2 linked regions of the Arabidopsis thaliana genome follow. The protein of the gene in region 2 interacts with the protein of the main gene of each other region in a pairwise test. Each region holds a gene or a part of one and is shown on either strand. Other genes may lie near its edges. The genes, in order: BON1 and SGT1B.

Region 1 (6,075 bases), on a different chromosome or scaffold from region 2:
TCCGAAAGGAGGTATTTAATTTTTACTCAATGGAGCTCTTGCCTATCTACATATTATAGGCTTGTATGTAAAAAATTTGACATTTGAAAAATTATTCACTCAAAAAAGTCAAGAGCTAACTAAGTTGACAGGTAAAGAAATTATGTACAATGTGTGACAAGTACGGATATAATAATGTAAGACTTGTAAATGTAATCCACAGCCAGTTTGACTAACTTGATCGATCATGTGTGTACTGCGTTGGTGTTAGGTTCAACTACCACTTCCCTAACCAGCTGTTTATTTATGTTTATGATCAAAATTTCTCTAAACTGTAGCTTTACTGTTAAATGTATTTGGTCTTCACTTTGGACACCCTCATCTAAATCTTAGATCACATGTGATACCTAACTATTCATTTATTTGACGGAAAATTTATAGTGTGATCAATAGCCATTTGTTCACGTTTTCAACATTTTGATAACATAATTTTATTATTTTCAATTATCCGCAAATAATGCAATATTCATTAAGAAAAAAAAATCATTGTTTTAGTTTTTAAGAAATGATTCTGATATATATGATACACATGTTTAAAAATATATTAAATTAACAAAATAACAACTATAAAAAAAAAATCTACAAAAAATTGTTTTTGGGAATTCTATGGTTATTATCAGTCTCTTACATAATTGATATAACAGTCTTTACCTTTTACTTTTTGGACACTTTCTCCATATGTCAAATCATTAGTTGAAAATGCAAAACAATATTCATCTGTAACTTGAATGTTTTTTTTTTTGTTGGACGTTCACTATTCTCTATCAATAGAAGAAATTAAGCTGCACAAAACAGATATCTTCAAATTCCAAGTATTGATGTAAAAGAAATCAAGACAAATGTGTACATCAGCCTCTTCATTCGAAACTTACATCCCACATTCAGACATTTTTATTATAAAAATGGAAAAAGCTTATGTAATCGCGCAAAACGACAGCGATTTTTAACCGCCGCAGTGGTTTATGTAATGTATAATATGTACACACTTCATTTACACACGAGACGAGATCATTCATGGAGGAATCGGTTTCATATTACGGATTCTCATATACGTCAAAAACTGCGAAGGCAATTCTGCTAGAAGCGCTTGTACCACTGAGATCTCTCCATCTACAAAACCCACACACAACACATTAAAACTCACCAAACCAAGAACTAGCGTTCTCATGCGTTTCCCTAAAGTTTCACTCTAAGAATCAAATAAAACTCACATTGGACATCTCGTAGTGCCACAAACTGAACAATGTCTCGTGAAGCCAATCGCCCGCTCGAACTCTCCAATCTTTCTCCTTTATCTGCGTCTAGTATCTAAAAACCCCCACCAAAACAAAAAAAAAGTACAGTTTACACAAGATCATATGTAGTTGTAAATCTTAAATGTCTTATTTTTTATTTGTTACCTCCATCTCTTTAAAATCAGCTCCTCCAACTCCTACAATGAGGATTGATAAGGGCAAATCCGATGCACTGACTAATGCGTCTTTTGTTTCTTGAAGATCAGTTATAACACCATCCTGAAACAAGAGTTTATGATTTATGTAAACAATGTTTGATTTGTTATTTTATGTGATCTTGGCTTTTCTTTTTATATATATACTCACTGTTATGATCAGTAAGACGTAATATTTCCGTGAACCTTGAGCTAGCGACGCGCTGGCGATCATTGCAGCAGCGTTGATCACTGGACCAAAAAGGGTAGGCCCTGCAAGAGAGACGTTGAAAAGGGCACTGGTGTATGAAGTCATGATTCCTTGAATCCCATCCACCTGAGAGAGAGAGAGAGAAAAAAAAAAGATACTTTTGATGTGTCAATCCAAAAACATCAAAATTTAGTCTTAAAGACCAGCGAGTCGAGTTTGTTTACCTCAGAGTATGAACTGCTTCCATTTAGATTAAAGCAATGTGAAACTGGAGCGTCGATTGGACGAGCTCCGAATCCCCAGGCAGGGAAACGTTTGTCTGAGTCATAAAACTGCAACACTTCTCCAACATCCATTATTGCCTGAGTTAAAAGAAGAGATCATGAAGGTTTGTTAGTCACAGTCGATGCTAGTTACAAGAAAATGGAATAACACTGAGTCCTCACTCTCTGGTAGGCATTTAATCGTCCAGAAGGATCAATGTAGTGCAAAGAATCAGGGAGGCGGGGATTTCCATTTGAAGCTGAAGGACAAAAGAAATGTAGAGATGTTTAGATTATATCCTTTTTGCATGATGTATACGTAACAACAACATTACATACCCAATCAAAGTTTTTAGGATTTTCCACAGTGGTGCAATACATACCTGTGAAATCGATTGCTACCATAAAGTTTAACTCAAATCCAGATGCCAAGTACTCTAGGAATGTGTGGTGGACAGTCTCGGTAAACTTGTCCACAAAAAGTTGGCTCTTTAACACCTAAAATGACCATAAATGGTATTAGATAGCTTATTGAAAAAGGCATGAAAATGTTAGGAGACCTTTTCGTATTGGTTTATACCTTGTTTTGTCCAGCACCAGTAGGCAAAGAAAAATTGATTCCTTGGCCCGCCAAATGAAGTTTTTCTAAGTCTGAAAGCGATTTCTGAACTTTCCTGACCACCCAAAATAAACGAGTAATTATGTCAGCTAACAGCTAAAGTCACTCCAAAAAGAAGATGGACTGAGCTCTAAGCTGTTGATTACCCAATCAGACTGTGTTTGCCATTGGAGTTAAAGTCTGAGCATTCTATTATCACTGGACTGTCCTGCATTATTACATTCTATGAATCAACTTGCATCTCGAACAGAGAAACATACTTTCTAATCATTCAGTTACATATTACTGGAAGCTCACATATACGAAATCTCCCGTACCTTACTTCCCACTTGTTGAACACTAAGAAAGACTGGCTTCCAAATAGGGTTAAGATCATTCTTCCGGACTTCAGTTTTAGACACGGGAATTGGAGTTCCATGCTCTACAATCTTTGATACCACCAAAAAGGGGTCCTAAAGTTGAGCCACAACAAAAAAAAAGTGTTATATTGATGTCAGAACTAGAATTTTATTAAAATGGTAAAGAGAATAAACAACAAAACTTACACTTTTTGAAAAAAGATCCTTAGATTCCAAATTCGAACATCTAAATACTATCTCTGTTGAAATCTTAGAAGCAAGGGACTCCTCAGCATGGATGATAAGCTTTCCGTGGTGAGGCTGAGCCTGTGGAGCAAAGCCATCTTTGCGCTTGAGTTCTAATGTGCTCGTCCTAGTTGATTTTGTGATTATCTGCGTGGTTGAAAAGTTAAATATAAAGTATTCTCTCTCTCTCTCTCTTATAAGCTAGGCAATAAAACAAAATTTCTGATGTGCCTCTCAGAGAACCAGCAAAAACAAGTGCACATATATTGTCAATGTCAAAAATGATACCTCAGACAATGCACATGTTGCCTCACCAAGAAACTGCTGTTCGTCAAGCTTAAGCATCTGAAAAGTATTAACATATTGAGAAAAGTGAACATCAGATCAAATGAAAATGCAGGCAGTAAATAAACAATTACCTCCTCTCTTGAATTTTGAAATTTGGTGTCAACATCATACACACGAAACCTGAGTATAAAGAAACCAACACAAAGAGTCAGGTAAAGGTTCATCTCTTTCCTCAAGTCACACAAGATAATAAGAAACTTACACCAATGTCTGCACAGTCTCGAAATGATAAGCGACTATAAATTTCTTAATCCATTTCGGAGCTAAAGAGTTCAAAACAACTTCACTGCGGAAAACTTCTGAAAGTGTTGCATCTTTTTCTTTTTGATATACAACAACCATAGGATCACTCTGCAAAAAAACAAAAAACAAAAAGTTTGTCATTAACTAAAATGACCAGCTATGAAGACTAATTCAATTTTGAATAACAAAGTAACCTTGGAGAGCACGTCGCGGTCTCGCAAATTCGAAGCTGAAAACGATAGCTGCATCAACAAAAAACAGTATCAAACATGAATCCTCAGAATATACAGGGAAAATCGAATTTCGCAGTTTTCTTCTTTCAAACGAAGCACACACATATCATTGTTAAACGTTTTTTGGCGGAAGTAGAGAAAAAACACGAGAGATAGATGATAGTGAAGGAACCTCTATCTGCGAGAAGAGTCCGTTGAAACCTTTGGACTTGAGATAGTAATCAAGGGCGTCGTTAGTCGCACCGAGAGCGGCGGAGGAACCACTTCCACCAACGCCGGCTGTAGCACCAGCACCGGAGGCGACATCGGAGCAACAATTCCCCATAATTTTTGATTTCCCAACAAAAAAAACTGCGGATTCAAAAGTACCTGGATCGAACAACAGAGACAAACATTTTTTTGTGAGGAATTTCGGAAGAAGAAGAAGATTCAGAAGAAAATGATAATCTGGGAGAGCAGTAAATGGGACCCACTTGTCTAAGTCGCGCTTTTTCTTTTCTTTTAATTGACTCGCTCTGTTTTACAGCGTCTCCTTCTTATATAGGTTTTTTTTGTTTGTTTTCATTTGATTAATATTGACTTACGAAATATCCAAGAAACGTTAAGCTGTTTTCTGAGAAATTCGCTCTCTTTTTTTTTTTTGTATTTATTGTAGTAAACGACGTGTTGGTCAATATCAGATTAACCTCAGACATATTTAATTAGAGCAATTAACTTCTGTGACATAATCTTTCCAGCTTACAATATCAGAATATTGTTATCGATTATAATTGTTATATCAAATACATATTATCTATGAAATCCTTTATAATATTTTATATGACAAACAGTTGGTCTTTAATAATTTTATTTGCAATGCACTAATAGTATATATATAATTCTTTTTGCCAACTGGATCTGTGATGCTTTTAGCGAAGAATTGTAATAATTTTTTTATTATTATTATTTACATGAAATTTGAGAAATTTTCAGACGAGTACAAGTCGTTGTTGCTATGGGGACATAAAGTGAGCAATAGGAAATAGTGAGAGAGTTTCACGTGAGAACATTTTACAAAGATAATTAGTAGTTTATTACCATGGAGGTCATACTTTGTTTATCTTTAACACAAATCGTAAGGTTCACACAACTCAGAAATTTTGTAGAAAAAAATCCCACAGATCATATCAGTAAATGATGATAGATGGGGACTATAACTTTCAAAAAGTGGATAAAGATAATATAATAGACATCTATTGAAAGAAGCCAACGTTAACTCCAAATTTATCAGGAAAATTTGCATTTTTCAATTCCAATTAAAAAGACCTCGAGACAATTCAGAGAGTTGGATCTGATCATGTTTTTCCCAATTTCAGTATTTTTTCCTTCGTCAATAATATTTTGATGATCTGTGACACAACCAACAAAGCTGTAAACATACGGGACCCTTGACCCAAAAAAAAAGAAACAAGAGGGCAAGACCAGAGCCTTAAGTAAATTCTGTAGCAAACAAAACAAAGTAGGTGGAAAGAGTGAGATAGGTGTCTTTTAAAATCTTTTTTATTGGAGAAGAAAGAAATAGATAAAAAGTTTTTTTGAAAGAGAAAGAGAAAAAACAAAGAACATGTGAATTGCAGTGCAAGTGCTCAAACATACATAGTGGGAGACTTAGGAGTCTTTTCTTTTCTTTTTTGTCTACCAATAGATATGGCTTAGGGTTTAGGCCACTTAATCTTAGAGCCAATAAGCATATTCTTGGTCCCTAGGTTTCGTTTGAGAGAGTGTTTAAGATGAACCTTTTTGAAGGTAGTATTCTTAATAGCAAATCCCAAGTATTAAACATGACCATACTAAAAGAAATGTTTTAGCATAAGTAATGATAACAGAGTTATAATATGTTTTATTAACTTTAAATCCCAATCAGAATTGCATTTCAGATTGCACTCCTGAAACGGGACTTAAAGAAGTTTTGATGGTTTGAGGAATTTCCTCATGCGCAGCTCAGAAATGAATATGATCAAACCGTAACATAGAACTTTTAAACTTACAGTAAACGGAGCTGGAGACTCTAGTTTTATGTCCTTGACCTTCTTTTCCACTGAGTGCACCAGTTCGAGTCCATGCTTC
Region 2 (5,250 bases):
TTCTCCAAGCACTTTGCGCTGAAGTTCTTTTTCTTTACCATTTCCTAGGCACAATGACCAGATCGTTATATGGGGCCTCCACTGAGAAGGTTGTTCAACATCACAACAACTAGACTCAACGCGAAGAAGATTCTGCCTCAACTGAACAAAACAAAACGTTGATTTCACGGAACGCTTATCATCAGGGGCAGTAACAATCTCACCGAAGTTTTTATATGTAAATTCACCATCTATATATGACATAGTAAACAGCACAGCAGAACCACTACCATCCCACAGCACAAAAGTTTCAGAAATACTATCATCTTTATCACCTTCAATAGTTGATGTACTAGAGTAAAGTATCATTGCTTCTTTGAACAGAAAATTTGAAGAATGCGAATCATCAACAAAAGATATCTCTCCTATTGCCTCCTCGCGATTCAACAACCAAAAGACACACCTACTCTTCGAGAAAAACGCAACAAGATCCCCTCGAGTTATTACTGATACAGCAATTTCCCCTTCACTCAACCAGTTTCTAGACACTAGAGAGCCTTTGCTCGGTTCAGATTTCTCTGACACTGAGACCAACTGCAACCTACCAAACGAATCAGCCATAAGCAATGATTCCTGCTCATCTAACTGAACCACGCCCATAAAATTCAAACAACCAATAGATAAATTCCCATGGAAAACTGTATGAACAATAGTAAGAGTGTAAGTATCAACAACAACCACCGTGCATCTCGACTTCTGAAAATCAGTATCTGCTAAAGTCTCAGCCCCATCAACATCGATATAAGAACAACCAACACATACATATCTAGGCTCTGATGGCAAAGTAGACAAAATCGATGGACTTCCAACCCAAGGAGGTAATTTTCTTCGTTTCCTACACTGACCACTACTTCTACTCCATACACACAAGACACCATCAGTACAAGCACTGATCAATGCACAACAGTTAACAAATGGATCCGCATTACCATTATCTGATGCAACAACTCCATTACTTGAAAGTATTGTAGGATCACAAATAGCAAGATCCACTATTGGTGAAGTATGGCCACACAACATAGCAATCGGTTTAATCTCATGATGAGGGAGACGAGTTACAGAATTGGATTCGGAAGAAGAAGAGATGCTCCACCAGATGATTGACCCATCGGATCCACCGGTATAGAGAGTCGGTGGATTGGTTAGAGAGGCTGTGGCGGTGACCCGATGAGACGGAGGAGCACGAGACCATAGGCAGGCCACAGATCGGCACTTCATCGGCTTGAATCAAGCGGTACAAGCATCGACCGAGTCAGTGAACGAGTCGGGGTGAGAGAAGAAGGAAGAACGAACTGGTAAACGACGTCGTAACAGTAATCACGACAAATATATCTGTACATATTTAGATGGATTTTTCGAGGTTGCAAATAAATTTTTTAAGGTAAATATTTGGCAAAAGTTTGATAATTGATATTTTAACTTTACTAGATTATTATCAACTTAAAATACTTAAATCTGTGTATTGGACGACGGGTCCTAATCTAGTCAATATATAAATTATAACTTGTTAAAATATATCATAGTCTAAATTCACAAATCACATTGTATTTGCTAAACTATGAGTAAACGATTACGATATAAACAAAATGAGTAGAAAATGATTATTTTAAATTATTGTAGTTCTCTATAAATATCTTTACCATTAGTTTTCTTTCCTTTTTTCAGTATTATTCTTTTGTCAACTAATTTATTTGTTAAAAAATCTGGACTTATCAAGAATCAATCTTATGTTAAAAAATAAAATCAAAAGGAAATTAGAAAATAAAATAAAATCTAATTACCTTTTTGTTTTTGGTTATATGACCTAGTAGAGGTATTAAAACGTTCTTAAAAGAAAAAAAAAATCCCAAACACAGCAAAAAAAAAAAAAGCCTAGAGGAATAGAATCGGTCTCTTTCTCTATAATCTCTCTCTCTCTCTGACTTGTTTGTGTTCTCTCAAATCCTCTGATAAGAATCAATGGCCAAGGAATTAGCAGAGAAAGCTAAAGAAGCTTTTCTAGATGATGACTTCGATGTTGCTGTTGACTTATACTCCAAAGCCATTGACTTGGATCCCAATTGCGCCGCCTTCTTCGCCGATCGTGCTCAGGCCAACATCAAAATCGATAACTTCACTGGTATAAATATAACTCTCTTCCTTACCGTTAATATCATCGTTAAAGATTGAAACTTTATTAGATGTATTGCTTCGTTGACGCTTTTGGGGTTCTGGGTCTTGTTCTTTTGTCGTTACTTTAATTCGATCTGTTGATAGTGGAACAAAGTTTTGATTTTTGTTATTGGTTTGGTTTAGTTTTAGTTTTAGGGTTTCTTTTGTGAGGTTGTTGATTCGGATAAGAAAACTTATTTGAGTAATTGTAATTGTAGTTACTGTACTTTGATTGAATTGTTGTTGTTTGATGATTTGATTTGATATTTTATCTTTTTGTGGTTTCTATGAGCAGAAGCTGTTGTAGATGCGAACAAAGCCATTGAGTTGGAGCCAACGTTGGCAAAAGCCTATCTCAGAAAGGGGTATGATATTTTCACCATCTCTCTGTAGTGAATGATTTGATGTTATGTTCAAATTTGATTGGAATTATAATTCTATCTTCTGATTCTTTGCTACTGTGTTCGCAGCACTGCTTGTATGAAGCTAGAAGAATATAGTACTGCTAAAGCAGCCCTGGAAAAGGGAGCTTCTGTTGCACCGAATGAACCAAAGTTTAAGAAGATGATAGATGAATGCGATCTTCGTATTGCAGGTATGTTACATCAACTCCATAGCTTAAGAAATTAGTTACTAAACGATTTTGGGTATTTGTCTGCGCCTAGGGCTATAATTTTGATATAGTCTTTGTATCTCTGTTCAGAAGAAGAGAAAGATTTGGTTCAGCCGATGCCACCGAGTTTGCCTTCAAGCTCTACAACACCACTAGCAACGGAAGCTGATGCTCCTCCTGTTCCAATTCCTGCAGCACCTGCCAAACCGATGTTCAGGTAGTCTGGTTATCTAACATGTAAATTCTTCTTTAATTTCCAGAATCATTTTATACTCATAACTTTATTGCTCAACAGGCACGAGTTCTACCAGAAACCAGAAGAAGCGGTGGTGACAATTTTCGCCAAAAAAGTACCTAAGGAGAACGTAACTGTCGAGTTTGGTGAGCAGATTGTGAGTATCCTTCAATCAGAGAATTCATGACTTTTATCTGAACTTCAGAAACTATCTCTCTTTGTAATTTAACACTGTATTGATTTGAGATGTCTATCTTGGCTTTATTTTGGTGCAGCTGAGTGTTGTCATTGATGTTGCTGGAGAGGAAGCTTATCATCTCCAGCCGAGATTGTTCGGGAAGGTATATTTTATTTGACATATGTAATTACGGTGTTTTCACACACACTTTTACTAAATCCTTCTTCATGGGTGTTTTTCAGATAATACCAGAGAAGTGCAGATTTGAAGTATTGTCGACCAAAGTTGAGATCCGTCTTGCGAAAGCAGAGATAATCACCTGGGCCTCCCTTGAATATGGTAAAGGGCAAAGTGTTTTGCCCAAACCCAATGTCTCATCAGGTTTGTCTCAGAAGATACCAGCTTACGTTTACTATTTTATTCTGAACCACAATCGTAAAACCTTAAACAAACTGAACCCAAAGTGGTCTCTCTCTCTTCTCATTTGATTTTATGTGCATATGCAGCGCTGTCGCAGAGACCAGTGTACCCATCTTCTAAGCCAGCAAAAGACTGGGACAAGTTGGAAGCTGAAGTGAAGAAACAGGTTCCACAAACGCTAACTTCTCATCCTTAACACTAGAGGCTTTGCTGTACTTTGTTCTTTCTGCTTATCACTTTTGAATTTCGCAGGAGAAGGATGAGAAGCTTGATGGAGATGCAGCTATGAACAAATTTTTCAGCGACATATACTCGAGTGCAGATGAAGACATGAGGCGGGCAATGAACAAATCATTTGTGAGCAAATCTATCTTTGGTCTTTAAAATTTTGGTTTAATAACTCTGCTTTGTTCTTCGACTAATGAGATTTTCCTCTCGGGTGGTTTTTGGGTTTGACAGGCAGAGTCGAATGGGACGGTACTGTCGACAAACTGGAAAGAAGTTGGGACTAAGAAAGTGGAGAGCACTCCACCAGATGGCATGGAGCTCAAGAAGTGGGAGTATTGATCTTCTTAAAATCCCCTTTTCTGGTTTTTGTTAAAAAAAAGTCTGACAAATCTTTTGAACTTTTAAGGTGTTTTTCTTTTTTGGTTTCTGCTCGAATTTGTCTCTCTCCATTCTTGCGTTGTGGTCTCAAAGAACGTTCTGATACTTTGATTTTGTATTAGAAAACTAAAACTCGCAAGTCTGTTGTTTTGGAACTTTGTTCTTTTATCGAGAGGCTTATCTAAATATTTCTTGACATAATTGCATTGTGGTCTAAAAGGTTAGTTGTATAAGCCCAACTTTCTTTAGTTAAAACCGATGTGCATCTATATAGTGAGACAGTATTTTCACCTTTGGGGTTCCTGGTCTAGGAACACTGTTGTTGAATCCAAATCTTTCTTTCTTCTCAAATGCCTTAAGGATTTGAAATGAACATGTTAAGCTATCATCAACACTCATCAATGCACCAGCATTGTCAAACTCGCCACAGTAATTGGGTGCAGAGAATTTGTCTTCACGAAATCAGAGCTACTTTCCATCTTCATGTATATATTAGCTGATTCAGACAAGAAGGATACTAAGTTACAAGTTTGTTATAAGATGCAAGAGTAAAGGATTTCACTTTGCAGGTTGTATCAACCAATTGAAACAGTCTTGTCACCATAAGTGATTTTAGATTATAATTTGTTTCATGCAAGTTTTTGTGAAAGACTTTTATGGAAGTTCATATATATATATATATATATATATATAATACTAACTGAAATACCAACTTAAAAGTAAAAACAAAATCTCCACAAATGGATCTGTTTTACAGTTATAACAACACTGTAAAATAAAAAAAGACAGTAGCAGGAAGAATTCAGAAGCAAAAACAGCTTCAATCTCTCTCTGATCAGCTTCCTACTTATAAGTATTGACTGACTCTTAATGAAGCTTCAAAAAACAAATCCTTTTGGACAGATTTGTTAGCAGAGAAGTCTTGAGTTGTCAGAAAAACAATAGCTGTTAGGAATGTTGTGGAGAGGTGGCAGAGAAGATGTCTGTAGCAAACTGCTCCCATCATAG

What was found.
Region 1: the proteins of SGT1B (region 2) and BON1 interact in a two-hybrid assay, tested with the Arabidopsis thaliana proteins (one study listed by BioGRID).

The regions. Positions count from the first base shown.
Region 1 is NC_003076.8:24,854,857-24,860,931, forward strand, and holds BON1 (Calcium-dependent phospholipid-binding Copine family protein), read right to left. Parts: upstream 4,486-6,075; 5' UTR 4,443-4,485; intron 4,417-4,442; exon of another isoform or gene 4,339-4,416; coding exon of another isoform or gene 4,295-4,338; coding exon 4,142-4,294; intron 3,979-4,141; coding exon 3,931-3,978; intron 3,845-3,930; coding exon 3,696-3,844; intron 3,614-3,695; coding exon 3,565-3,613; intron 3,491-3,564; coding exon 3,434-3,490; intron 3,293-3,433; coding exon 3,107-3,292; intron 3,014-3,106; coding exon 2,879-3,013; intron 2,770-2,878; coding exon 2,708-2,769; intron 2,617-2,707; coding exon 2,523-2,616; intron 2,441-2,522; coding exon 2,326-2,440; intron 2,203-2,325; coding exon 2,126-2,202; intron 2,042-2,125; coding exon 1,904-2,041; intron 1,806-1,903; coding exon 1,641-1,805; intron 1,554-1,640; coding exon 1,440-1,553; intron 1,348-1,439; coding exon 1,251-1,347; intron 1,150-1,250; coding exon 1,052-1,149; 3' UTR 805-1,051; downstream 1-804. Other genes in the region: AT5G61910 (DCD (Development and Cell Death) domain protein), read right to left, coding at 1,052-1,149, 1,251-1,347, 1,440-1,553, 1,641-1,805, 1,904-2,041, 2,126-2,202, 2,326-2,440, 2,523-2,616 and 9 more. UniProt on the Arabidopsis thaliana protein: Negative regulator of cell death and defense responses. Negative regulator of several R genes, including SNC1. May have effects in promoting growth and development.
Region 2 is NC_003075.7:6,850,468-6,855,717, reverse strand, and holds SGT1B (phosphatase-like protein), read left to right. Parts: upstream 1-1,805; 5' UTR 1,806-1,998; coding exon 1,999-2,158; intron 2,159-2,485; coding exon 2,486-2,555; intron 2,556-2,660; coding exon 2,661-2,785; intron 2,786-2,893; coding exon 2,894-3,020; intron 3,021-3,098; coding exon 3,099-3,195; intron 3,196-3,313; coding exon 3,314-3,379; intron 3,380-3,458; coding exon 3,459-3,597; intron 3,598-3,722; coding exon 3,723-3,802; intron 3,803-3,888; coding exon 3,889-3,993; intron 3,994-4,095; coding exon 4,096-4,203; 3' UTR 4,204-4,534; downstream 4,535-5,250. Other genes in the region: AT4G11270 (Transducin/WD40 repeat-like superfamily protein), read right to left, coding at 1-1,257; AGL52 (AGAMOUS-like 52), read right to left, coding at 5,151-5,250.